Xenopus tropicalis: one gene and its partners. The protein of the gene in region 4 interacts with the protein of the main gene of each other region in a pairwise test. Links are inferred from orthologs where the notes say so. Each region holds a gene or a part of one and is shown on either strand. Other genes may lie near its edges.

Region 1 (4,247 bases), on a different chromosome or scaffold from region 4:
TCGGCTGACAGGTGCTGGGGCAGAGAGGCAAGCGAGAAGAGGAGCAGGGATGAGAGGACGCAGGGAGGGGAGAGGAGCGGTGAGGAACGGTGACAGCTGACAGGTGCTGGGGGGGAGAGGCAAGCGGGGAGGCTAGTGGAGCGCCATGTTTAAAACATGGCGGCGCAGACAAGGAGAAATAGTGTGTACTTCGGGAGGACCGTACTGGGCAAAGGAGCATTTTTAGAAGAAATGATTTCAGCTTTAGGTAGGGGCAGGAGCCCTCTATTACATACTAAAAAATGAGTAAAACCCTTTCCTTCTCCTTTAAGCCACATGTATGAAGATGATGCGGAAGAATCCTGCATTTTAGAACAATCTTAGCTTTCACTAAACAATCCTTTGTAGCATTAAGGAAATATAGCATTGGACCTACCTCCTTGTCTTTGAGCCCTAGGAGCAAAACTTCTTCCATAAGCGTCAAACGAATGTCCTTAGAATCGGCGGATTCTTCCTCATCTTTGTCTTTGATGTAATCTTCTGAATCCACCCTGTTTTCCTGACCCACATCTGCGCGCCGACCACGTCGAGTTAAAGTGGTCATCCTAATATGACAAGGAATAAAGCAAGCATGAAGTAAGGATGGGAGAATAAAGCATGCGTGAAGTAAAAAATGCAGGAGGCCAAAAACAAATATTTAACTAAACTGAATTTCTGAAATATCCAAAAAAGCCCAAATTTGTGTTTAAGAAAAAATCCAACTAAATATACATATCCATGTTTGAATTAAGCTCACTGGATCACCCCTTCAATTAGGCAAGCTTACATAACTGCAGCTTACCATTCTTATACAACTATGTGTGGCAAAGATATATTATACATCTCTGTAAGAGCAACAGAAAGTCTAGGGAGATTTCCCTTCTATGGAGAGATCCAAAACAGCCATTTGCTTCATGTTAGGTGTTCAAATGTTTTCTCCACCCTTTTCTACTGTTCTGGCCCCATTCCAAAGTTTGAGAATGTCTACATATATATAAAAAAAATCTTTGACCCCAATACTTTTCAAATCATAGTAATGCCACTGCAAAAGCCTGCCATTTTTTCCTTTGCAATATTGCCAAGATATGCCCCTTTCTTTCCCAAGTAACTGCTAAAAGACAAATTCATGCCCATACCCTATCCTGTATAAACTACTGCACCTTCTTACTAACAGGTCTTCCAGCCTGCCACCTCTCTCCCCTGGAATCAATCTGCTGCTAGAGTCCTCTGCTCTCTGCTAACAGGGAACCTGTTCAGACCCAGGTAAAATATATATCTTGCAGCTCCTTACCTCTGGATTTCTATCCCTGAGCTTCTCCGTAGGGAAATTTCTCTCATTCCTTTCAATAAGAAACTCAGATCCTACCTTTAGAGCACTAGCCCACTATTTAGTCTAGTCCAGTCCGTACCCTTAAGGGCCAATGCCCAAACGTTGTGCACTTCTGCCCTCCAATGTGTGCCTGTATGTTATCCGCCCACTTAGAATTTAAATTCTATGGACCTCCTCCCTACCGGGTCTCTTATCACAGGACACCTCTCAATGCAAAAGCCACCCCCCCGGGAGCAGGTGCTTTCACCCACGTGAAAGGTACCAAAATGGCTTCAGGCATTTAATAGTGATATTAAAGAACCAGGAAGTCTAGTCAGCAAACTATCAGGGCCCAAAGTGCAGTTTGGTCTTGGTTGGTATAATGTGCCCCAGGCACTGCAGACTGAGGGGGGGGGGGGAATAATATAACTCAACCTGTGCCCCTCCTGCTGTTGTGTACTGAAACATATTACAATTGTTAGACATTTATACATGATTGATACAAGGGGGGCCCCAAGAGGTACAAGGGGGGCCCTAAGAGGTACAAGGGGGGCCCCTAAGAGGTACAAGGGGGGGGGCCCTAAGAGGTACAAGGGGGGGGGCCCTAAGAGGTACAAGGGGGGGGCCCTAAGAGGTACAAGGGGGGGCCCCTAAGAGGTACAAGGGGGGGCCCCTAAGAGGTACAAGGGGGGGCCCCTAAGAGGTACAAGGGGGGGCCCCTAAGAGGTACAAGGGGGGGCCCTAAGAGATACAAGGGGGGGGCCCAGCGATACAAGGGGGGGGCCCAGCGATACAAGGGGGGGCCCTAAGAGATACAAGGGGAGGCCCTAAGAGATACAAGGGGGGCCCTAAGAGATACAAGGGGGGGCCCTAAGAGATACAAGGGGGGGGCCCTAAGAGATACAAGGGGGGGCCCTAAGAGACACAAGGGGGGGCCCTAAGAGACACAAGGGGGGGGCCCTAAGAGATACAAGGGGGGGGCCCTAAGAGATACAAGGGGGGGGCCCTAAGAGATACAAGGGGGGGGGCCCTAAGAGATACAAGGGGGGGGGCCCTAAGAGATACAAGGGGGGGGCCCTAAGAGACACAAGGGGGGGGCCCAGAGATACAAGGGCCCCCCCGAGATACAAGGGGCCCAGGGCAACCCTACACTTAGCTATTCTATGCTATTCTATTCAATGCATTATATCCAGCTTCACATATTCCCGGAAAGTTGGCAAGAAGCATCATTTTAGACAAATGACCCAGGAGGAAGTTGGGCTAGCCGTGTTAGTATTTACTCCGGGGATTGAAGCCCGAGCAAATGAGGAACCCGGGAAATAGACAGAACAAAAACTATAGATAAATATATATTAATAAAGACGCACGAAAGGGACGCAGCCCCAAACATTTCTCACCTGTTTTCCTCTCACTTGAGCCGCTGAGAAACTTCACTTCCTGAAGTCGGACACATCAGCTTTGATCAGCCCAGAGCAATCTAACCTCCCTGGCTGTCTCCTTCTGACAGGCATTATTCCTTACCAATCACGTCTTTCCCTTTGTGTCACACAGGTCACTCCGGCGCGCCTCTCCCCGCCCCCTTGCGCACGTCATGCAAGCTTGGTCAGAGGTGAGATTGTTGGTTTGACAGGCGCGCTTGACCAATGGGAATTGGCGAACGCTACAGCGTAGGCTTGGCTGATCCTCCCAGCCATCGAGATGTGATGATAGAGCGGCTTTTCGCCGTCAACCATGTTTTTATGAGGGAGGATTCCTTAGCTTCCGAAGTCGCCTGGAAGTCATGGCGGAAATGAATATAACAGTATAGCAAGAGGGTAGATAAAGCTTGTAAACAAGCAATAGTAATAGGGAACTTCTGGCATACGTCTGTGCATTATTTCCATGGTTACAGGGGATCTCTTTTTGCATAATTAATACTTTTATTAAATAATTATAATGTGTGTTGGACACTGGATCAGAAGTGTGCTCTTCTTCAGGTCCTTTAATCAGTAAGTGTTCTGTCAGCACCCCATCTAGGGTTGCCATCTGGCCGCTATTTTACCAGACTGGCCGGTATAAATGATGCTTGAGAGTAAAAAAGGCAGAAATATAGACACCTCTTCAAAAAATTATATTTTAGTCCATAATTTATTGTTAGATTTATTTGCCATTTTTCCCCACTGTACCTGTGACTAAGGACTAGAGAAGTCAGAATGTATCCAGCAATAATATATCTGCCTTTTTACATATATTTAATAGCAAACAATTAAGGCTGGACATTTAATGATACAGTGCTTGGAGGCGCAGTTTAGTTTATATATTAGCAAATAGTCTTTGTAAGAGCCGGCACTCCTTTACAGTGATCAGACTGGAAGTGAGGCTGAGGTGACTTCTGCACTGACGACGCGGCTGGAGTGATCTCCACTTGGTAGTATATAACCCTGCTAAAACTGCCCAAAATAAAAAGATTTCTGTAAAACCATTTTTGTGAAACCCAGGACTTATACTTACAAACGTATCTTTACGCACTTGTACCTGCTACCCAGTCTGACCCCTAACCCAAAGTACAACCCGCTGGCCTTAATGAAACTAGAAGCGACATAATCACAAACAGAAATAGACATCATCAGAAGATTAGCTTATATTGAGAACAGTGACGTGCAACCCATACCTGCATCAGCAAACCACAAAAACCTATGACCAAACCCGATGCGCAGGGTGCAAAGTGCAGCAAGAGCCACAACACAAGTGCTTCATCACTAAGGGTGAGATTTTGCTCTGCTAATTGCATCCATGGTCTGGGTAAATAACCATTTTAGTGTCTATAACACTATGGGTAATGTTGCAGCCTCTCTTTTGTAGCCTTTTGCACTTCAGCTAAGCAAGTCAGTTAAACCATTTGGGTTGCCATCTGTCTGTTTTTCACTTGGACAGTGGGGTT
Region 2 (3,500 bases), about 20 Mb from region 4:
GTGGATCAGAATGTTCAGAGGCATCTCCCAAATTCTTTTTTCATTGGGAAAGCAAGGGGTGTCTGTTTCTATGTGGGTCAGCCCAGGCTATGCTATAAATGTGGGTCCAACAGGCATTATGCTGTAAAGTGTAACATACAGAAACGTGCTTTGTGTGGGGAGACTGGGCACCCAAGCAAGGAGTGTGTAAAGGCAATAAAGTGCAACCTGTGTATGCAATCCGGCCATGCTTATAGAGCCTGCCCCGACGAAAGTGTGATGGAGAGTCAGGGGGCAGGTGTGCGAATACAGGTTAAAAGGTCTGCTGGGAAAACTTTGGACAAGTCTCAAAATAAGAAACAAAGATGCCTCCTGATATGTGTTTTATAACCATCTGTAAGAAATAAGATGCTTTGGAGGGAGGTACGCTTTGTTTTTTTTTGATGCAATATTGATTTATATGTATTTTTTGCTTGATTGAAATGTAATTATATTTTTATTGTATTTGTTTAATATATTTTAATAAAATTCTCTCCCTGCTATCCCACAGCCACAGTCGCTTCCCAGAGGCTATTATCCCACTGCTACTATAGGCACCATCTCTCCCTACTATACCTCCTATCCCACAGCCCCTTCCCAGGGGCTATTATCCCACTGCTACTATAGGCACCATCTCTCCCTACTATACCTGCTATCCCACAGTCCCTTCCCAGAGGCTATTATCCCCCCACTGCTACTATAGGCACCATCTCTCCCTACTATACCTGCTATCCCACAGCCATAGTCCCTTCCCAGAGGCTATTATCCCCCCACTGCTGCTATAGGCACCATCTCTCCCAACTATACCTGCTATCCCACAGCCACAGTCCTTTCCCAGAGGCTATTATCCCCCCCCCAACTGCTACTATAGGCACCATCTCTCCCTACTATACCTGCACATTCAAGTTTATATTGTGTGAAACTTGTGATCTCACACATTTAGTTAGTAATTTTGCTGTGTGGGGCCCATGGCGCGGAAACATGCTTGGACCTCCTGTAAAAACAGCTAAGTTATGTAATTTTCACAAAGGTCCTTCAGCACTTGTACTTTTTTTTTTGCATGAACTGTTAACATTTGTAGAATAGAATTAGTCTGTTCTCCTGCACCGGCAGTATTTTAATGATTAAGCCTTTTCATTTTAAACACTACAAAATACCAATGAGAATGGTTTTCACATTCCCTTTGAAGAATATGTAAGCTGGCAATCAGTTTGTTTAAACAATCCTGGTATAGTGCAGTGCCACAGGGGAGAGGAGGAGGGGGAACTATTTTTGGCATCTGCAGCTTACAATTCAGTAGATCTGATATTCTCTTTTGTATCCATTTTCTTCCCTCAGAAAAAGTTTCTCTTAAAGTGTCCTTATGTATTGTAGGCTAGCTTCCCTGCTCTTCAAAACAAAGCATGCATTTTAGTTCTAGTTTTACTTCAACCAAATAACAGTACCAAAATAGCACAAACACAGCCTATTCCTCAAATGGAAAGGAAACCATGCCACTCTGATGAACCATTTCCCAAACCTCTTTGTAATGTAACATCTCCCTTGCATTATGATGGATTCTGGGACTTAAAGTTCCTCTGATTTTCATAGTGGATGTGCACAGATTCTCAGGAAAGCAGAAGGAATGTCAGGTCCCAGAATCCATTTCTTCACAATAGAACAACTATTATAAAATGGTATTGTGATCAACAAAGTCCCACTGTTTAGATTGCACCTACCTGGATTATAAGTTGTTGGACCACCACAGTCAGTGCCTCAAACTTTTGGTTACTGCTGGTGAGGAGATTTTTCAGGTTCTCGATAACCCCTTTCTGCTGCTCACACACGGCTTTGCAGTGGGTTAGTTCAGCTGATTTAGGATCAACTGGAGGTGTCTGTGCTTGTATAACTGGACCTCTTGGGCTCGTCTTCGGCTTATTTTTTTCGACTAAAGAAAAAAAAATCAGCTTTTGAAATATACCACCTAAGTTCCCCTTTTATATAAACGTTTACTTTCGTATACAAAATTACGGTCCATGTCACATGGCCATTTTCTCCACCATTGGGGAAAAAAACCCACAAATCTGCTCCAAGTTAGCACCCTGCTCAGTACATTTGGTCAGGAACAGCATACATATTCGGGGCTAAATGTGCCAAAGTGGACAGGCAGGTGGATGCCATAAGAGTACATGCCATGCATTTCACAGGCTTTAAGGCATTGCCACATCCAGGGATTCCAGGAATTTGCTGGATTCCAGGAATTTGTTTGAGTGTTTAATAGCTTTGTCAGCAAGAATTAAACCGCCGGAATAACTTCCCATTCATCTCAATAGCAATTTCATGCACTCGCACTTAAACACTTCCAAATTTTTAAATGGCCACAATCTCAATGGTGAGGGCACTGCACACGTCCAGGAGATTGGCATTAAGATTGGAAGGGATTCTGGATATTCTGTTGCCAGACAGCAAGCTACTAAACACTCTGGCAGAACGGCTGCTCTTGTTCTTTGTTAATTTAGAGGTTCAGATTTAATTTATTTATATAGTTATCTCTTCACCAATGCACCTTAAGGGCAAAGACAGACTGATTTTTTTAAAAAAACCCATCACAACCACATGGTACAAGTCGCCATTACGGTTAGCTGTGGCGATTAGTCGCTGCATCTGGATTTTAAAAATTGTGGTGGCTATTTGCCTCATCTGTCTTTGCCTTAACTCTCACTGTAACACAGGCTACATGCATTCAAACCAGCAGTGTAGATGTTTATGAGCCATTTAGATATAAGATAGCAGGAAAAGAAAACCTCTGTTTCCAAAGCACTAAGTTATACAATATTTCATACTGTTTGCAGACAAAACTAAACATTCAATTACAAGAACAGTATTTCTTAAAGTTTTGTGTTACATAAATATATGACATGTCTTTCTTGTACAGCAGGTTACCACAGATAGATTTTGCACTAAAAATTCCACTTGATTATATTCTGTTACAAAAGGAATAGATTTGGGTTTGGTCACACTACAAACACCTCAGATATTTGCCAGCAACTTGGCATAGCAGAGCACAGTATTAAAGCTAGTAGCTGCTTAGGTTTGGGTTACATGGGCATTTCTCAGCAAGAGAATTGCACAAAAACTGCTGGGAGTGAAGGATGGAGGAAAATATTGGTATCATTGAGACCTCACTGCTGATAAAAGCTGCCATAATTTTTTTCCTTGCAGGCAATATAAACTCTTACTACAAATACAGAATATAATGCACACACCTACATATTTATACAAGGACGCTTTATCTTTGGTCAAAGCTCATCTTTATCATGAAACCGGATCAAGTCTATAGCCATGAAGGAGGCCACCCTGAAAATAAATAAAAGCTAGGAATTTCCATCTGACACACAAGGATTTTTTTTTAAATCTGCTTCAGAGACACTAATCACAAATTCATATCTATAAATTAGATATGATAATTTCTAAACTTTATAGAAATTACTAGGACTGTGGAT
Region 3 (4,027 bases), on a different chromosome or scaffold from region 4:
ATCTGTCTGTAAATTGTTTCAATTACACCAAGTGCTCCTGGCAAAAGGTACCTCAGTTACCTGGTAATGTTCATATAGAAACATGGAAGAGAGAAAGCTCAGACTCTGAGCATGATTGAGGACTCAGAGGACAAGCCATGCTGTAAGATCCACTCTCCACAAGTACAGTGCATGATTTTTACACCAAAAAAAAAAAAAAATTAAGTTCACAGCAATGGGTTCCCGGAAAAGTACTGCAGTCGGTCCCTGCTAAGTTTTTTTTCTTTCATTCTTCTGTTCTGAAACCAAATTTTAACCTGGCGGTCAGTGAGATTCAGCATTCTGGACAACTGAAGCCTCTTCTCTTTGTTAATATACACATTGAAGAAAAACTCCCTCTCCAATTCTCGGATCTGGAACTTAGAGTAGGGACACCTCTTCTTTCTTGTACGAGGAGCACCTTGAAATGATAAAAACAGAGCTTAAATTCTAAAACTGCATTACGTTTCGGCTTCCTGATACATGCCCTGTGTATTTATTATCTGGCTAAGATTCTGAAGGGCATATAGTACCTACTAAAATGTACAGAAGCAGATGTTTTGAGGCATAATGTATGCCTCTCATTGAAAATCTGTGTAATTAAATATAGTCAAAAACCTTGTATTTTACTCCATTCACTCGCACGACAGTGTATGACAATATCAGTGAATATTGAGCATGTCAGTAGTCTAGCTATCCATCTCTTTGTCTACTATCTGTCTGTCTAAATCTCATTTTGTCTTTATACTATACTCAAATATATCCAAATGCACAATAGCATTTGGATATTTATGGACATCCCTCTTTCATTGGGCACAGTTTCACCCCTATGAGGCTTTAATTTTGCAAATATACACAAGGAGTGAGTGCATTTGCCTTTATCCCTATGCAGAAATTGCATCACAACACGTGTGTAAGCCTCCATGTACTTTACTGCAAGCACAGAATATATTAAGGACCAAACAGGGCAAAATCCGTAAAGGGGTAAAAAAATTGTTTTTAAGATCATGCAGACCAATAGAGGCAAATAACATTGTGTTTGCATCGTGCATAAATATTGGCTCTCGAAAGAAATGAATGAAATCACAAGATAAACATGTTTTGATGAAGAATACAAGAGTACAAATGACATTCACAATGCGGGTATGTTTGTTTCCCTTGCCAATTTAAACACATGCAATTACACACACCACATATAAACATACACACGTATATATATATATATATATATATATTTCCCAGTGTGTTTTAAAAGCCTATTAAACCCCGAATAAAAATGATCTGCATGACTTTGTTTTGAAAGAAAAAGCAAGAAGCAGCACATTAAATTGCATGAACAAGAAGCCAAGGTTATGTTCTATCCAAGTGCCTTTCACTTCCACAGCCCAGAAGCAAAAACCCCGTTAAAATGCCCCTAGAAGTTCATGATCAAAGTGAATATTTGCCATGGGGGCTGCCATCTGCAACCCCCTCCCCCTAAAAAAGAAAGAAAGAAAGAAGAGCAAGGATTTGAATGAAATCTCCTTGTTTGTTTGTGACTCCACTGACTCTCAGTGCTTCCCTCTTCTCCTCCAAAGAGCTTTCCCATCGTAAAACGTCTCTCGTTGGAATAAAGAGCTTTTGTAGGTTTAATAAAATCCTTTGAATGCTTATAAAACTCCACATAAAACGTGACCGACAAAACACCGCACTAGCCCCCTAACCTCCCCCATGCACTGCTGCTGCCTGGGATACTGGGCAAAGCTCTATACCTACTGGAATTGCTGCTCTTGCTCCCTTCCTTATTGGTGACAGAAGAGGATGAGGCTGACGAGCCCGGGTTTGTATTTTCCTCTTCGTCTTCCGGGTCTAGTCCCTGCTCAGCTCCGGATGACAGAGCGCTGGTTTGGGGGTCACTGTCCATCTTGGCATCGCTCTTGGGCACACAGTCCTCTCCCTGGCTCTCTGTCCCACAGTAAGCATTGTCAAAGAAGCGATCAAATCCTTGGGGCAGCACACTGTTTTTGCTCATACTGGAGTAGAAGCCCGTTGAGGGGTGGTTGGAGGTGGGATGGTGGTGATGGTGGTGGTGGTGGTGATGGCTGTACACGCTTTCGTTTTTCATTAGCATTTCGGTCATGCTAGAAGAAGGAGGGAGGCACTCTCTGTGCATCAGATCCTCAGCTGCAGGGTAGCAGGAGGCGTAGTTGCTCCTAGGGTGCCATTTACTGGAGGGGTCTAGCCCATAGGATACCTCCCGCACTGGCTGGGAAAGGTTGGTGGAATAAGGGTAGGAGATCTGCCGAGAAGGGGCCTGGGGCAGGAAAGAGGAGACAGTAGAGAATTCAGGGACATAGTAGGTGCAGCTGGGGAGGTACAGGTTGGAAGCGCAGCCTGTCCGGTCTCCAAATTCAGCACTCCTCTCTTTGCGCGATTGCGAACAAAAGTTGCTCAGGTTAACCGAGTTAAACATCTTTCTCCCTTTCTGGCTCTATAGATAGATGTTTTGGAGGCGATCTGCAGAGGGGGAAAAATTTGGGATGGCTGGATGACGCGCTGTCCGTCTTAGTCTCTCCCCAGGAACACGTGATGCCCCAGTAGATATTGCCATATATCAGTCCGGAGCACTTAGATGCGTAGGAGGGTTCACTTAGGTAAGATCTGAGAGAGGTTCAAAAACGATTGGTTTTCAAACACCGCAGAAACATTATGAAAATCAATTGCAGATTTGTATTCATTTTTTTCTCTCTTTTAGGCACTCCCCTTGTGAGCATTGAGAAGAAAAAGCAGTGTAAGGATCATTTCAAGGGGTGGCTGGGAGGGAGTAAGGGGGTGGGGGGGGGCTTTTGAAGTTTGCAATTTGGTCTCTGCTTTCTAGATTTCACCCCCCCTGTCAGGGGGATTTGCACTCACTAGAAATAAGTTGACTCTCATTTTCCCACCTAATGCGTCAACTTTGAGGGGCACACACTGCAAATCTTTACTGGAGAGATCAAATACAATTGCTAGGGGCAATGCAGGTTTTGGGGTCACTAAGTCTTCAAACATTTGTAAAATCCAGCTTAAGTATAGAGCCATTACATCTGTGTACTATTCATGCTACGTACAGGGGGACATTCTTAGAAAGAAAGTAATTAACAGACTCCTTGCAATAACTAATTGCCTTCTTGTAGATATTTTTTATGTCAGCCCTGAAATAAATCAAGTTCAACGCCGTGGAGGTATGGACCTTAAGATAAGCCAGGCTTAACATGACAAAATCAAGGCTTCAGACTTCAGAAGGCACCTAAGATGAAACTAGATCTGCTTCTCTTATTTCTATTACCCATATTTTTATAATCACAGCAAGAGAACAACCAAGGGTCCCGGAAAACTATTTTACATGAGAAATGTTAAAAATCTCACATCAAGTATAAGTCGGGAATGGGAATGTAAATATATTTCCACCGTTGCACTTATTCATTTTGGCATGGAATCCTGCTTAGCAGAATTATTTTATTCCATCAATTGTATATGATTCTTGTTCAACGTCCGCACTGGAACTCTGTACTTATAATGCTTTACAATATGCATGGCTCCTATGTATAAGGTACCTGGTAATCCGTAAAAATGCAGTTTGGAGTAATGTTCTGTTCTAATTTACATTGTCCTGTGGCACTTTCATATTAGGACCCTTTGATCCATACACGAACTCATAACGGACCATCTTCTTTGTTTCCATAGTCCATTTAGTGAAATAAAGAACATTTCCGCCATATACTTTGCTACGGTATACAATTCTCAGTTACCAACTACGATCGCCTGATTAGCACTATATGTGTCTAGGTGACAGATAGATAGATGATAGATAGATAGATAGATAGATAGATAGATAGATAGATAGATAGATAGATAGATAGATAGATACAGACACTCACATACCATATAGATGCGCTGGAGAGTAAGCCACACAGGCCCAAATTCTATAAAGACAGTAAGCACAAATGGACTTTTTATCACAAAACAATCATTATTGGGGTGCCCAGTGCAA
Region 4 (3,500 bases):
TGACCCCGGCAGCCCAAAACCATTGCTCTGTGAGGCTCCAGTTTTATTGTTACTTTGTATCACTTATCTTTCTATTCAGTCCCTCTCCTTTTTATATTCCGGGTTCTCACTCAAAACACTGCCTGGTTACTAAGGTAATTTGGACCCTAGCAACCAGATAGCTGTTAAAATTACAAAATGAAGTTGCTGAACAAAAAAGTGCAATAATTAAAAAAACACAAGTAATAAAAAATTAAAACCTCTCTCTACATCATACTAAAAGTTAACTCAAAGGTGAACAATCCCTTTAATGAATAATAAAGGGACAGACTGCTGAATCAGAATCATTCAATATGATTAAAATATGATTCCTTCTGTTTAGGATTCTCCAAGGTGAGTGAAGCAGAAGCGGTGACTGGGAGTGAAGCTCATGGTTTCCATTCCCAAATGTATTCTGAGTGTAAAGTCTACTCTGCCATATACACAAATATACACAGGAGCAATGACTGCTGGGAGATTGTCAGTAGTTCTGCTCACATGTACCTTGTAAACAACCGTCGCCATGAACTGTGGGTAGGGCTGCTGGTTGGATAAAAACTCCCCGATGACCTTGTTCATCACGTCTTGTGGGGGGAAGAAATCATCTAAAAACTGTGGAAGGATCCTCGCTACCACCCGGGCTTCAAAGGGGAATCCTTTCCTTATCCTGTAATGAGCAGAGACAGAGAGAGACAGGTGAGAGAGTGCAGCGCAGCTCTCCTCAGTGACAGCAGATTAATGAACCACGGGTGATAGACATTCTATACCTCTCCCTCTGCTCCAACTGGGATCAGCACAGTAATCAGAGTTACAATTCAATTACATCTCATGCAATTCCACTGAGGGAGAGAGCAGAGTTCAGTCTCAGTTCTCTGTACTAGTTACATGCACTGGGAGAGATGGAGGCAGGCACCCCGAGAGAGGTGTGGGCATGAGCCCTGGGAGAGATGGAGGCAGGCGCCCTGGGAGAGGTGTGGGCATGAGCCCTGGGAAAGATGGAGGCAGGGGCCCTGGGAGAGATGGAGGCAGGCGTCCTGGGAGAGATGGAGGCAGGGGCCCTGGGAGAGATGGAGGCAGGCGTCCTGGGAGAGATGGAGGCAGGGGCCCTGGGAGAGATGGAGGCAGGCGTCCTGGGAGAGATGGAGGCAGGGGCCCTGGGAGAGATGGAGGCAGGGGCCCTGGGAGAGATGGAGGCAGGCGTCCTGGGAGAGATGGAGGCAAGGGCCCTGGGAGAGATATAGGTAGGTCGTGGGAGAGATGGAGGCAGGGGCCCTGGGAGAGATGGAGGCAAGGGCCCTGGGAGAGATATAGGTAGGTCGTGGGAGAGATGGAGGCAGGGGCCCTGGGAGAGATGGAGGCAAGGGCCCTGGGAGAGATATAGGTAGGTCGTGGGAGAGATGGAGGCAGGGGCCCTGGGAGAGATGGAGGCAGGGACTCAGAAGCCAGTTAACCTGCCGGTATGTTTTTGAATTATAAGAGGAAACCCACAGAAGGACAATTACCCAGAGAAAACCCACAATGGGTGGCACAGTAGTGCCCGCATTCCCGGCTCAGGCTGGGGGACTTTTTTTTTTTTTAAAAACTAAATAAATACATTTTTCTTTTTTTTCTCTATAGGAACAGAGGGAGTGTGCAGAAAGGTAAAACAACATGGCTTTGCTCCTTTATTACCTGTCAAACAGCACAGAGACTCTCTCCATGGCTACAATGACAGACTCGCTGTCTGGAGCTGCAGGACTGGGCTCTGTGGCGCGGCCTGGGCTGATTTTCTCTTTTCCTGCAGAGACAAAAGTAACTCCCTACTGTTATCATCACATTTCAGTTTGGCTTTTATCAGCGCTTAATGAATAAGGCATAGGTCCCAATTATAATAAAGCTTTGTGGGGGGTGAATGAGCAGAAAGAGCAAGTATGTACCATGTATCCGTTCCCTTGGAATAGCAGTGATACAGGAATGATCTCTATATCAGGCCTGGACTGGCAATCTGTGAGTTCTGGCAAATGCCAGAGGGGCTGCTGTAAGATGCCACAGACACTCACTATTTATTGGGCTGCTGGGGGGCATTTGGGCCTCTGGGTACTTGGAATGCCAGGGACTATTTTGAATCCCAGACCTGCTCTATACAGAAAGAAGCACAGGTAGGCAGGGTTCTAAAGTTAAGCCAGTTGCACGGATACTGTGCTTAATACAGTTGGTATGGGAAGCCACTGGCTAATATATATATATATGCATTGCTCTGTAGGCATGCACAACAAATGTAAATGTGCTTTACTTTGTTTATTCCAAATATCCTCTCACGCTACCGATTCTAGGAATTTATCCAGGAACGGACTACGCTTGTGCACTCTGCTCTTCTAAATCAGCACATTTATTCTGTATATCCTTCCCTACACATACACAGACACACACCCAATCACAACACACATGCTCTGCCTAAAGACATACGCGGTCAGAGCCAACCCCCACCTGTGTACATGCAGGTGAGCATCAGTCCTAGTGCCGTCATTGCCCGGTGAGGGCTGTGCATATTCACTCTGTCCACACTCAGTTTCACTAGCGCTTCCCCATCCAGCCGGGACAGCTGCTCCGACAGTAGGAGGCGCTCCAATCCTCGCATGACACAGTGGTACACCATGGAGGGCGTAGACTCTTCACTCCCAGAGACCATCACGCCGCACATCTGGGCAAAGCAAGACATGAAAAAAATTATCTACTGCTCTACTGGATTGGCACAAAAGGGAGGATTATTTGCTGATCGGCACACATATACAGGGTATGTTCCAGGCAAGGCTGCCATTGCTAACATATGGATGTGACCATTGGTGCCGACCAGAACCTGAAAGTAGCGAGAAGCCAATTAATAAATGGAGGAATACAAAGTAAAGCTGCTTAGAGTAAAAGTGATTAGAATCTGGAATCCTGCCCTTCATATGATGGAAGTCAGGCACAAAGGGTTTGTAAGTAGGTTAGAATGAATTGCATTTATAATTGGATTTTGAAAACGGATCTGCATTACATTCACCTGCATCTTTGCCTGACCTCTAATGAAGCGAAATAGATAGAGAATTTTTAATAATCAAACGATGTTTAATCCTATCTGTAGTGCACTGATGGGCTTCTGCAATGGGAGCACAGGCCCCCCTCCTGTTAGAGGAAAGGGACAAACCAGTATGAGCCAAGTCTGAAGAGACAACGCAGGTATGGGGAGATGGAACCAATCTGCCATGCTATTTAAGGTCAAATGGAAATGATGTCATCAGTTAACCCTTTATGTCCTTGAAGGAGTTGTTTTAATTAACTTTTAGTATAACAGACGGATATTCTGAGATAATTTGCAATTGGTCTTCATTTTTTGTGGTATTTCGGTTATTTAACCTTCTGTTCAGAAGCTCTTTACTTTGATATTGCGGCACCTATATGGTTGCTAGGGTTCTATCCTAGCAACCAGGCAGTGGTTTGAATGAGAGACTGTAATATGAATA
Region 5 (3,500 bases), on a different chromosome or scaffold from region 4:
TACTGCTCTGCCATTCTTTACAAGTACATTGCTGGCAATTCAGTAGTAGGCCAGACTGGGATTCACACCAAAAATGATGCAGGTGGGGTAGAACATTACTTTCACCAGACTCCTCTTATAGTATCTTTGTGTATTGAAACCATGTAATGGGCCAAAGGTTATTGGGAGGTTTAAGTTGCCTATTAACTATAGCTGTACCTTTTGCTTTTTTTAATAGATAAGAAGAAGGAGATTGATGCTTTAGCAAGCGAATATATTGCTAAGGTGCGGGACTACACCCCTGAGCAGAGAGTACAGCACCTTCAAAAAATTCAGTCTGCCTATAGCAAATGCAAAGAGTACAGTGATGATAAAGTGCAACTGGCCATGCAGACCTACGAAATGGTGAGCAGCAGTTTAATGAATCCATAAATAACAAATGCCATGCATGACTTTAATAATGTCATTTTTGTGTGTAGAAATTATTATTTTGAAATATATTTGTCTGTCTAATAGGTCGATAAACATATACGAAGGCTGGATGCTGATCTGGCCCGCTTTGAGGCTGATCTTAAAGAAAAACTGGAAGGGTCAGAGTTTGATAGTCCTGCAGGACGTGGAGTAAAGAGTGAGTTACAAAATGTTGTGTATAAAAAATCTCGCTAATCTTTTCCTTCAACATTTAAAAATCCCTGCAAGAAGACCCACTCTTGCTCATTCCTCCTTCTCCCTTTACATGGTGCACTATGAATAGAGGTCCACAGAAATACTCACAAGTGGGAGAATACTGTGGCTTCCTAGCATATTTATTTCTTACCAGTGACAGGCACATCCAATGAACCAAGTATATTGATCCAAGTATATTGTATTCTGTTTAATGCGCCCCATAACGACAATGCATGTCTAACCAAACCTTATAAATGTGTTATTTATATTGTACATCGCCACCACCCAATACGTTCCACTCCCTGTATCAGATGCTCTGCCTGCTTGCGTGTTTGGCTGGCAGCTGCCACTTCTATGTTCTTACTGAGCCGGAGTTAATAACACTGCGTGAGCGCAGCAGCACATGCCCCTGTGTGCAATTAACTTGTGTGCCAAACTTTACCTACATGTGAAAGGACTGTCTGAAGGTCAAAAGCTAAGGATTGCCTGAAATGTTACGCGCGTCACATCGGTTCTGTGCTGATCCCTTAATGGTGCAGCGGCGCGTCCCATAATGGTGCAACGCTATGGTGCGTATGATGCCTTGCGCGTGCGTCTGCAAGCCCGTCCACGGGGGGGGGGGGGGATTGCACGCAAGGAGCGCATTGCATCTGCGAATCCATAGGCAACTACCGTATATACTTGAGTATAAGCCGAGGGTTACTTTTTAAGCACATTTTTAGTGCTCAAAAACTCGGCTTATATTCGACTATATACGGTACTCTGGAAGATAAATAGCAGTACATCAAAATTGGAGAAACAAAATTATTCATCCTAAAAAAACATAACTTTTTTGTTTTAAAGAGAATAGAGGTCAAAAAGAAAAACGAGGGTCAAGAGGACGCAGAGTATCTGAAGAGGACACTGTAAAGAAAAAGAAAATGAAAGGAGGGTGAGGAATTGTATCAGTTTGTTACTGTTCTAGTAACAGCGTAGACTATGTGAGACCTCTTATAGTTTCCAGGTTGAATGCCACATACACAATTTTTTTTTGCACCCTTATCAAGCAGCTGTGGCTTTAAACAAAACATTTACATAGTAACTTCCACGTTAATTGTCCAAAATATTACATTTTTCAAAAAGGAATAGATTGTGTAATATCAATAGGGCCACCAAACTGTCCTGAATAAGGGCTAAAAAGTGGTATCTTCAACTGCTGCTCCCTTATTTTTTAATGTGACTGCAAGAGCTGTGGATTTAATGGGTGTTTAAATGCAAGGGTACAGCTGTGTAAGTGTGTGAGTTAGGCTGCTGACCACTTTAAAGGTGAAGTACATTTAACATTTTTATGTTTTAGAATTTCCCATCCATAGCAATTGTTCAATTGCTGCTCATTTTTATATATTTTTTAAGTTTGCCTTCCCCTTGTGTGTCCAGCTCTCAAAAGGGGGTCACTGACCCCAGCAGTCAACTATTGCCCTTTGAGGCTGCAATTATAATGTTACATTTAGGCCTTCTCCTTTTCATGTTTCAGTCTCTCATTCCAGCCATTGCCTGGTTGTTACTGTAAATAGATTGGACCTTGGTAGCCAAATATCTGCTGACAAAAAGCTAAATAATTCAGAAACCATGCAAAAAATGAAGAATAAATTGTCTCAGAATACATTTATAGTTTTTTTAATCTGAAGCTGTTTAATGGGTAATTTACATGACCTAACTCGCTGGCTTGCTGATATATTTGTATTTGCCAGGCCTGTATATGCTGATTCAGTCCTGTCTGTGACCCCTTCGGATGTCTTGGATATGCCAGTGGATCCCAATGAACCCACATACTGCCTTTGCCACCAGGTGTCCTATGGGGAAATGATTGGTTGTGACAATCCAGATGTAAGTAATAAGTTCAGAATATTGTATGGATACATCAGTGTCCTTGCCTGGAAGTGTGTACTGTATGATTGGATTTAGAGAATAATTCAAATCCAAAATGCAATATTTTGTCTATATTCTTAAAAATTAGCAATAGATTGTTCAGCAGTTTCAGCTGATCTGCCTTGCTACAATCTGAGGATTTATTCTGTAGTGTCTTCACTTTTGCAATAGGATAACATTCTCAGAAATAAATTTCTACACTTATTCAAGAAAAGTGCAAGTGGAAATACAGGTTACATCAATGTTTTAGCCTCAGGTTTAAAACTATACCAGCATAACTACTAGAAACTAAGGTAAATTAATGTTTCAACTGGTTGGAATGGAAAAAGTAAACCTTTCAGAATAGGTTTCTGCTTTGTTTAATAAAGACCTAAGGGCATGAGAGTTGCTACAGCTTACTGATTTTATTGCACATTGTATTCTTTTCTCCTTTATTTTTGCGGTTTCTTAAGACAGTCTAATGATTATGTAAAGTGAATGTGTTATAGCCAAAGCTTATATTGCATGTAAAAGCAAGGCGGTTAGAAGTACAGTTCTATTATCTAGGAAATAGGGTGTATGTTTTTTTCCAAGGCACCTAAATGTGTAATTACTTCCTAAATTATTTGCCCACAGTGTCCAATTGAATGGTTCCATTTTGCCTGTGTGGATCTGACCACTAAACCTAAAGGGAAATGGTAAGTATCTATTGTATCAACTGAATTTTTGTTAAAAATAGGAATGCACTGAATCCAGAATTTTTGGATTCTGATGAATGCTAAATCCTCTGCAAAAGTGGAGGAATCTGAACTATAATTTGCATATTTTAATGGAGAAAAATAGAAAATGACACCTGTGAACAAAGTTTGTAGCCATCAATTACCAAGAGTTTTAATGTCATATTAGAATGATGATAAGGGTTTCAGTTTTGTTCTGCTGAAGCTCTGAATCCTTAACTGAATCCTGAA
Region 6 (3,986 bases), on a different chromosome or scaffold from region 4:
TACACACATGACAGCATACTTAAACCCCATGGGAAAGTCCATCTATCGCTTCAATAATGTTAAGTTTACATGGAACAAAGTTACCTACTTAAACAGTAAAGTAATATGCCATTGACGCAGTAAGGCAAACCTACAAACCAAAGACCCCTGCTCCTCCCAAACACACATGGATTGAATTTGCATGCTAACACTTCAAAGGCTAGTTTTTTGCAGGAGTTTGACTAAAAGGACAACATTTAAAGCAGCTAGTACACGCCACAGTGCTTCATTTAAATTTGATGTTTAGTGGTAGCTGCACTTTTACTTCCTGGCAAGGAAACTAATGCAGCTTTTATAGAAGTACTTTGCTGCTCACACAGAAAGTATAGTTAGTTGTACTGGTCATTTCCCAGGACACTGCAAAGGCAAGCACTGTTCCATAAGGCCTATTAACACCAGATAGTGCTGCTCGCACAGTTAACAATGAAGTGTCTGTCTTTGCCAGTTAGCAGCTACAAACCACTATTATGCTTTATATAGAGCCAACATGTTCTATGGCAATCTAGAGAGCTTATACAGTAACATTCCCTGCCCCAATGAAGCATGATCTATGGTTCCTACCATACACCCACTCTGGGGAGGAGCCAATTAACCTTCCTGTCTTGGGAGCATAGAAGAAACTTAAGAAAAAAATGCTACACATTAAGAACATACTAATTCCATGAGATACTGTCTGGGGAAGTAGACTTACGACCCGAAATGCACACAGGTCACCGACTAGGACCTTTGATTCTTGCAGCAGTGAACAGAAAGACCCCCCCATGTCCAATTGGCCATTTCCCAATGGGCAACAGCATGTTTTCAAGATAGTTGCAAGATCAAGGAAACATACTTCCCATGTCAAAGGCAGGTGAGGGAGCAAAGTGCACACTGCCCACCTACTGAACTGTTTAAGGAAACAAATCCTCTACCATTCTGAACATGCAGTTGCATTAGTGCCAAAACGGGCTAGTTACAAATATTTGCCCTACCACATCGGCTACAATACTTGCACTAAACATTTGTACTGTTAACTGGAGAGGAAGCCACAAATGCCCCAATGCATGAATTGCCAGCAGGCCCTTCCTTCCTACTGCAGCTGGTGGAACAAAACCACCACTTGTGCGCAGACTGCTGCAACTGAGAAACAATCAAAACACTGCCATAGCTTAACATGAGAAGGTGGCTTTTATCGGAAGCCATAGCTGTATTAAAGTTGATATTTAGTCTAGTTAGTTGTCAAATAAGAGCCGTGCCCCAGCACAAAACAGCTAGAAATGTGTTAAGTGCCTGGAATTTCTGCACCACATTTTCTCTTAAGATCACATTCCTGACTAGTCTAATCTATTCACTACCCTGCATACTTTCAGGACAGGAGAGGGTGGAGATGGAGTTGGGGGAAAGAAAAATCCATGTCCTGGAGACTAGCCTTGATATGTAACAAAACCTCAACTAAAGCCATGTTAGCCAATACTATAGCACATGAGCAGATTTCATCCCAGTAAAAAGCACCTAATGCCACCTCCCACTAACCTGAATTTCTCCAAGCTCCACCACAAACACTTTTCAGCTTGAGGGTGTTTGTTTGCATATTTGCACACTGAAAGGCACAAGTGAGCTACTCTCACATTACCTACTCCATGGGAAGCGGCAATTGTTTGTACTTCAGTAACATTTGCTTAATTTATAATATAGATCATTTAACTTAGCATTAAATCACAAGTTTTGGCACCCACAAGTTAAAATCTAAACCCAAATACGTACAAGGTTTCTTACAGGAAGCCAAACCTTGTACACATTAGCTGGAACGATAGGATAGTAGGGCCCATGACTATAGCTTACTGCTGCAACAAAACACTGGAAACACTAATTCTAAGCGGAAGGGCGATGAATATCCTGGCTTGACTGAGCCTCACCCTAGGCCAAGACAGGGAGTGAATAGAAAAAAAAAAGTTGCAAGAGTGGCTCATATTTCACAGCTCCATCACTGAAACACTAAGTACACAGGGGAGAGTTTCAGGGAGGGGGAATATATACACATTCCCAAAGCTGCCCTAAAACAACGTATGGATTTATACATGTCCCGCATCGTGAATCTGATACACTGGATAGAATTCTCCATTCCTGCACATTAGTTCTCACATCTCAAAAGCAGTAGAACCTGCAAGCACTCAGCACATCACTCCATGCCAAAACACACATTATAAAAGTTCTAGAATCAAAGGAAAGAGGGCCAGCCCGCTGACGCACAAAGACGGCTTTTAAACAAGGTGCCAACAAGCAGATGGAAAGGGTAGTTTAGATACGTATCTATTGGGATTCCTTAAATAGGACTGTATGGTACCCCCCTACACACCAACAATACTATGCAGTACAGTTATGGGACAAGTACAAAGGCACACACACACAACCAACTTCCGGCCCTGTTTCTGATCCTTAACTCCAAACAATGCTCTACCCAACGAGGCCAGGCGGCCGCAAGTTCCACACCGCAGACATGTACAGTACCTGCCCACAATCCTTAAAAGATAAAAAAAACGCACTAACCACACTGCCAAGTCAAGTCAAACAGATCCGACCACGTTAACCTCCATCATGTGGCTCCCCAGCTGTTGCATAACCACAAATGCCACCACTCCCCAAGCAGCTTCCTAGGTACGGTAACAATCGATAGCGACACCGAAGCTACAAAAAAAATAAAAAGACATTTGCAGTATCTTACCGTTGGCTCGACGTCCACCGGTTCCGGCCGTCACCGCGTTTCGCCCGGTACTGGCCGTCTCCTACACACCTCCAGACCCTGCAGGTTCCGAATTGTGTCCCACTTTAAGATGGACGGGGTATGGCGGCAAGAGCGTTGATTTTCTTTTCCCCGTTTATGTTTCTGATCCCCTTCAGTTCCCAGCCATGAACAAACGCACTACTCTCCCGTTCGCTTGAAACGCGACACACAGGCTTAAAATGGCGCCGCACACCCTTGTTTTATATGGGTCGCATTACATACGCGTGTGAATATCCTTCCGCGGGCTTCGGCGGCAGGAAAAGGTCTCATAAACGGGGCGTGGGCGGAGTGATTCAGAAGGAAATATAAAAAATAGTTCTTCCCCAAAGCAAATGCCCTCCCTAGGTTGTTGTATACAGAGCTGCGGAAAATACTAAAAGGGCAATTGTAATACTATCATATGCTCCGCATGAAATATGCAGATACGTTCGAGTAGAGCTGGTGCATAAATGTTTCTTGTAAACCTAAAGATGCAATTCGCCACCCAACTGTTAATGGTTTGTGTATGTACGGAAGCGTAAGTTAGTTAATGGCGATATAGTGGCAATTGTCACAGGCATGGGTGTTACTGAATTAAGCATTAAAAAGTTTTTGTGTCAGGTTTTGGAAGCGACGAACAGTTTGGGCGGAGATGAGATTCATTCCTGCTCATTGTGCGGATTGGAGGACTTAAACGCGGAATGATCCTCAGTAGGAAATGCGGCCGGAGCTGTTTTTTTTCCTCCTAGGCTTGGAATGTGGAGCCCGATGAGGGCAGAGTTGGAGACAAAGAAAGGAGGGGGAAGTATTAACTCTTTCGTTGGAATTGTAACACGAGTCCTGCACGATTGAAGTGCTGCAACAGAGCTCAATATTAAACCAAAGCTTAGAGGAGAGGGTACATTTGCCCTGCCCCCTCCAAAGTCACAGGGCACGTCTGGGCAGATAAGAGATAAAAGCAGAATGGACAAAGTGTATTGTGTAAACGTTTATGAGATATTTTTAGTGTATCTGTCAGGGATGTGAAACCTTGTGCACTCCAGCTGAAGATGAACTGCAACTTCCACCTTTCTGTTTACACAAGATTGATTGTATTTAAACAGCAGCAGAATAGTAGACTGGACAGTCCATGAATGATGTATTTTTTCCAACTTAATGGTCAAAGCCATACAGTATTGCCAGTGGTTTCCTTTATAACACTTGCCCT
Region 7 (3,500 bases), on a different chromosome or scaffold from region 4:
ATTCAAGCCGCCTCCGTGGACGCCTTCCTTGCCCATTGCAAAAACCAAGACTGAAAAAGAAAAAAAGAAAAAGATACAATGAGATTGTGCTCAGCAATCAGAATGTTGTATATTATACACATAAATATATTATATTTAATTATATATATATATATATATACATATATATTTGTCCTGTGATTCGGTCAAGATTTGTTTTTTTTTTTGTTTTGTTTTGTTTTTTAGGTGGATGGGGCTGAATCCACATGCCTGGCCAACGTGCCATACAGAGTAGCTGGCTTTTAAAGCTTTGGTGAGGGTCCTTCAGGGCATGGGATATCCCAGTGTGTGCTGATTTGGATAATGTCCAGGAAAGGAAAATAACGTACAATTTGCCCTTTTCTTTACAAGTGAAACAACATAGTTACACATGTAAACATCCCATGGTGCTTTGTGTTTAAGATTCCAGCTAAACTAAAAAACTGTCATGTATGAAAATAGTCTGCACATTTACAGTCCCCCGCCAAAACCACCTGCCTCATATGGGTACTAGCGCTCAGTGTGCCCATTCCCTTGTACATTGAATTGCTCATTATACTGAACAGGAATTTGTTTTGATGATCAAACTGCTCCATCTTGATTGGAAATAAAGGGCAACTGAACTTTGTAGGCCACATCCTAAACTCACTGCAGGAGATATTTTGCACCAACTTGCAGTTTTAAGGGACTGTATATCCCCTTGTACAACATGCGTTCAATCAATAGGGGTTGTGCCAAACCTACTTTGTGCATTGTCACAGACAATCCCTGCAGAATAAATGGGAACAGAGAACTATGGAGATCCTTTCTGATGAAGAGGTGGTTTACCCCTCTACTTAAATATGCCCCCCAAAACTTAGGCAGCATGTAAAGCCACAACACAAATATTTTAGCATGCAACCCCACAGAGCCTTTTCCCAGTTACATAAATCTAGCAAATACTAAAAACTGCTCCTCATGTTGGCTGTGCTGTAGCCTTAACCATGCTGGGCAAGTCTCCCAGCCACAAACAGCCATCTGGTGTAATACATGTACATATTTATAGAAATAAGGATATTTAGATATTGCCTGGATGCAGGTATTCCTCTTGGCTATAATTACAGATGGGATAGCAGGTCTTCTTGTTATAGGGGACCTGTCCCCATAAGAAATAATTCCAAATCCTTTTTTATCATGTTAGTCGAGCAAAATAAAGTTTACTTACGTTATATAAATTATTTATTAAATGTTGTTCCCTTTAGTCATGGAATTCAAAATAACAGCAAGCAGGCTGTGCCATTTTGTGTACACTATTATCAAGGCAATCTTGTTTATGCACCATAATAGGGAACCTGATGCACAGGATGAGAAGTGCAGTAACTTCTTGTTGTTTGAAAAATATAAAATAACATTGAGGCCTTTATACTCAAAGAGGTCCAGTCCAACCTCCAACAAAATCCTTTCTGCAAACCCAGGCTTAGCAACACAGAATCAAATATACACACACACTAAGGCACCACAAGACCTTACCTCTTACGGCTTTTCCTACAGCAATATTGTATGTTGGTTCTCCTCCTTGACTCTTTGTTCTGATGTCCATTGTGAAATCGTTATCAATATAGAGGCTGTCTCTTATAACAGAGCATTTCTTTCCTCCCACAGTTAGGCCACCAGTAAAGAATCCTTCTCTGTCCTTCCCTATGAGCACATCAATTTCTGCAGGCTGCCGGAACAAAGTACAAAGCCATTTGTTTGTTATTGACGATTGCATCAATTTTCTACAAATTCTATAAGTTACTATAATAAATACACGTAATTGTTTAGATTCTGTCAATGGGACATATACTTCCTTGACACAACCATAAAAATATTGGGAATGTGTAACCCAAGCACCCCCTGCTGTACTGTCAGGGCATGGCCACAATGACCAACAGAACTGAGCAGAGAGGCCTTTAGTGTCTAAAGCAGAAGGGGGCACTTGGGCTAAACATAAAGGGAGCATAAAGCATAACTCAAAACCCCTTTAGACTTGAATGAATAATATATGGTCCCAGTTTCAGTTTCTACACTAAAAATTATCTTTAAAAACAACCACATTATTGAAGCTGCCCATAGATTCTCTTTGGTCCGTGCGTTTCAAATGAGTAGTGGATATGTCCTAACAATCCTTGGCAAAAGGGCAATCATGCATTTCACCCAGGCAAAGGCAGGAATTCTGGGGGGGGGGGGGGAAGCACTGCACTGTGGGAAAAAACATGGCGATTGCACTCAAAGTTTTACTTTGCTCACTGCACATTTCCACATGTGCAGGATGAAAAACATTCAAATATAACCCTAAGCTTGAACAAAGCACCCTCTTGCTAAAAAATACCAACAAATTTAACATCAGCAAATGCATAATAAAGGTTACACTGTTCTCCCCATAACACTGAAGAAAAAAAACAAAAAATATAACCTTGGAGCTGCCAGAAGCCATTTGTAATTTATACAACATTGCTCGTGTGTTATAGCTCCCACAGCCAAAGGACCCATTACTGGGCCGTAACTGGGCTGCAAGTGGAACTTAAGCTGGCCATACACGCACCGATAATATTGTGTGAAACCTCGTTTGTACGATATTTGGTGCGTGTATGGCAACTCGACGAGGCGACCGATATCACAGAAGGCTGTGACTCGCCGATCGGGCGCCATTGAAGGCGCCTGAGCAAAATTTGCCTTCAGGGCTTAATCGGCAGAAGGAGGTAGAAATCCTATTGTTTTTACCTCCATATCAGACGATTCAGCCCTGAATGTCAGTGGAGGGTTGGAACAATCTTTAATGCGACCGATGGTCGCACGAAAGATCGAAAATCGCCACGTGTGTGGTTCTCTTTCATTGCAATCTGAGCCAGGATGTTACACTCTGCTCTTTGTTCAGTGGAAACGTTTACTTTAAAATTAACTGAAGATGGGGTAAATATATATACAAGGAGAAAAAAAAATGTTTTTCTTCATAGATTCTTGTACTGCTTTTCCCCACACTGTAAAATACTGCCTGGTTAAGTTGCAGACTGAGACAGATTGTTAAACTTCATTTGTATTGTTATGATTTATACATCTGTATTACTTCTATTTAGGCCAATGCCAGACGGTGCTGCAGATAAACTCAGGCCAAGAATCAGCCCCTACGCTGGCATCAGCCTTTCCCTGTGCCTGCACTCTGAGCCACTACATCAGCTGGGGTGCAGGCACACTGAGTGGATTTCAGTCAGAACATGCGAGTATGCAATTCTGAGCCAAAATCCACTCCGTGCCCCTGCAACTCAGCTGATGCGATGATTTTGGGTGCAGGCAGAGAAACAAGTGGATACCAGAATCAGTGACCCTAGCAACGTTATAACAAACTGCCACTCTCTACAACATCCTATCCATTGGCACACTATGTAAGGCTAATGACAGACGGAGCTGACTCGGGCCTGTGGATAAAGCAGGCAGAGGATCGGCCCCTACACTGGCATCAGCCT

The links.
Region 1: the proteins of htt (region 4) and golph3l interact in binary tests that used the Homo sapiens proteins (3 or more experiments, as listed by UniProt). The link is inferred for Xenopus tropicalis from reciprocal best matches to the Homo sapiens genes HTT and GOLPH3L.
Region 2: the proteins of htt (region 4) and mtus1 interact in binary tests that used the Homo sapiens proteins (3 or more experiments, as listed by UniProt). The link is inferred for Xenopus tropicalis from reciprocal best matches to the Homo sapiens genes HTT and MTUS1.
Region 3: the proteins of htt (region 4) and hoxc11 interact in binary tests that used the Homo sapiens proteins (3 or more experiments, as listed by UniProt). The link is inferred for Xenopus tropicalis from reciprocal best matches to the Homo sapiens genes HTT and HOXC11.
Region 5: the proteins of htt (region 4) and ing5 interact in binary tests that used the Homo sapiens proteins (3 or more experiments, as listed by UniProt). The link is inferred for Xenopus tropicalis from reciprocal best matches to the Homo sapiens genes HTT and ING5.
Region 6: the proteins of htt (region 4) and ctnnb1 interact in binary tests that used the Homo sapiens proteins (3 or more experiments, as listed by UniProt). The link is inferred for Xenopus tropicalis from reciprocal best matches to the Homo sapiens genes HTT and CTNNB1.
Region 7: the proteins of htt (region 4) and pfn2 interact in binary tests that used the Homo sapiens proteins (3 or more experiments, as listed by UniProt). The link is inferred for Xenopus tropicalis from reciprocal best matches to the Homo sapiens genes HTT and PFN2.

The regions. Positions count from the first base shown.
Region 1 is NC_030684.2:127,040,923-127,045,169, reverse strand, and holds the start of golph3l (Golgi phosphoprotein 3-like), read right to left. Parts: upstream 2,801-4,247; 5' UTR 2,725-2,800; intron 1,445-2,724; exon of another isoform or gene 1,357-1,444; coding exon of another isoform or gene 1,310-1,356; intron 585-1,309; coding exon of another isoform or gene 584-584; coding exon 416-583; intron 1-415. UniProt on the Homo sapiens protein: Phosphatidylinositol-4-phosphate-binding protein that may antagonize the action of GOLPH3 which is required for the process of vesicle budding at the Golgi and anterograde transport to the plasma membrane.
Region 2 is NC_030677.2:42,519,879-42,523,378, forward strand, and holds part of mtus1 (microtubule-associated tumor suppressor 1), read right to left. Parts: intron 1,946-3,500; coding exon 1,737-1,945; intron 1-1,736. UniProt on the Homo sapiens protein: Cooperates with AGTR2 to inhibit ERK2 activation and cell proliferation. May be required for AGTR2 cell surface expression. Together with PTPN6, induces UBE2V2 expression upon angiotensin-II stimulation.
Region 3 is NC_030678.2:146,120,995-146,125,021, forward strand, and holds the start of hoxc11 (homeobox protein Hox-C11), read right to left. Parts: upstream 2,801-4,027; 5' UTR 2,471-2,800; coding exon 1,774-2,470; coding exon of another isoform or gene 1,770-1,773; intron 440-1,769; coding exon 207-439; 3' UTR 1-206. UniProt on the Homo sapiens protein: Sequence-specific transcription factor which is part of a developmental regulatory system that provides cells with specific positional identities on the anterior-posterior axis. Binds to a promoter element of the lactase-phlorizin hydrolase gene.
Region 4 is NC_030677.2:22,812,396-22,815,895, reverse strand, and holds part of htt (huntingtin), read right to left. Parts: intron 2,699-3,500; coding exon 2,485-2,698; intron 1,796-2,484; coding exon 1,690-1,795; intron 686-1,689; coding exon 523-685; intron 1-522.
Region 5 is NC_030681.2:125,710,127-125,713,626, reverse strand, and holds part of ing5 (inhibitor of growth protein 5), read left to right. Parts: intron 1-217; coding exon 218-384; intron 385-495; coding exon 496-607; intron 608-1,488; coding exon 1,489-1,576; intron 1,577-2,375; coding exon 2,376-2,511; intron 2,512-3,168; coding exon 3,169-3,230; intron 3,231-3,500. UniProt on the Homo sapiens protein: Component of the HBO1 complex, which specifically mediates acetylation of histone H3 at 'Lys-14' (H3K14ac) and, to a lower extent, acetylation of histone H4. Component of the MOZ/MORF complex which has a histone H3 acetyltransferase activity.
Region 6 is NC_030682.2:53,356,609-53,360,594, reverse strand, and holds the start of ctnnb1 (catenin beta-1), read right to left. Parts: upstream 2,801-3,986; 5' UTR 2,741-2,800; intron 1-2,740. UniProt on the Homo sapiens protein: Key downstream component of the canonical Wnt signaling pathway.
Region 7 is NC_030681.2:118,629,756-118,633,255, reverse strand, and holds part of pfn2 (profilin-2), read right to left. Parts: intron 1,721-3,500; coding exon 1,528-1,720; intron 51-1,527; coding exon 1-50. UniProt on the Homo sapiens protein: Binds to actin and affects the structure of the cytoskeleton. At high concentrations, profilin prevents the polymerization of actin, whereas it enhances it at low concentrations. By binding to PIP2, it inhibits the formation of IP3 and DG.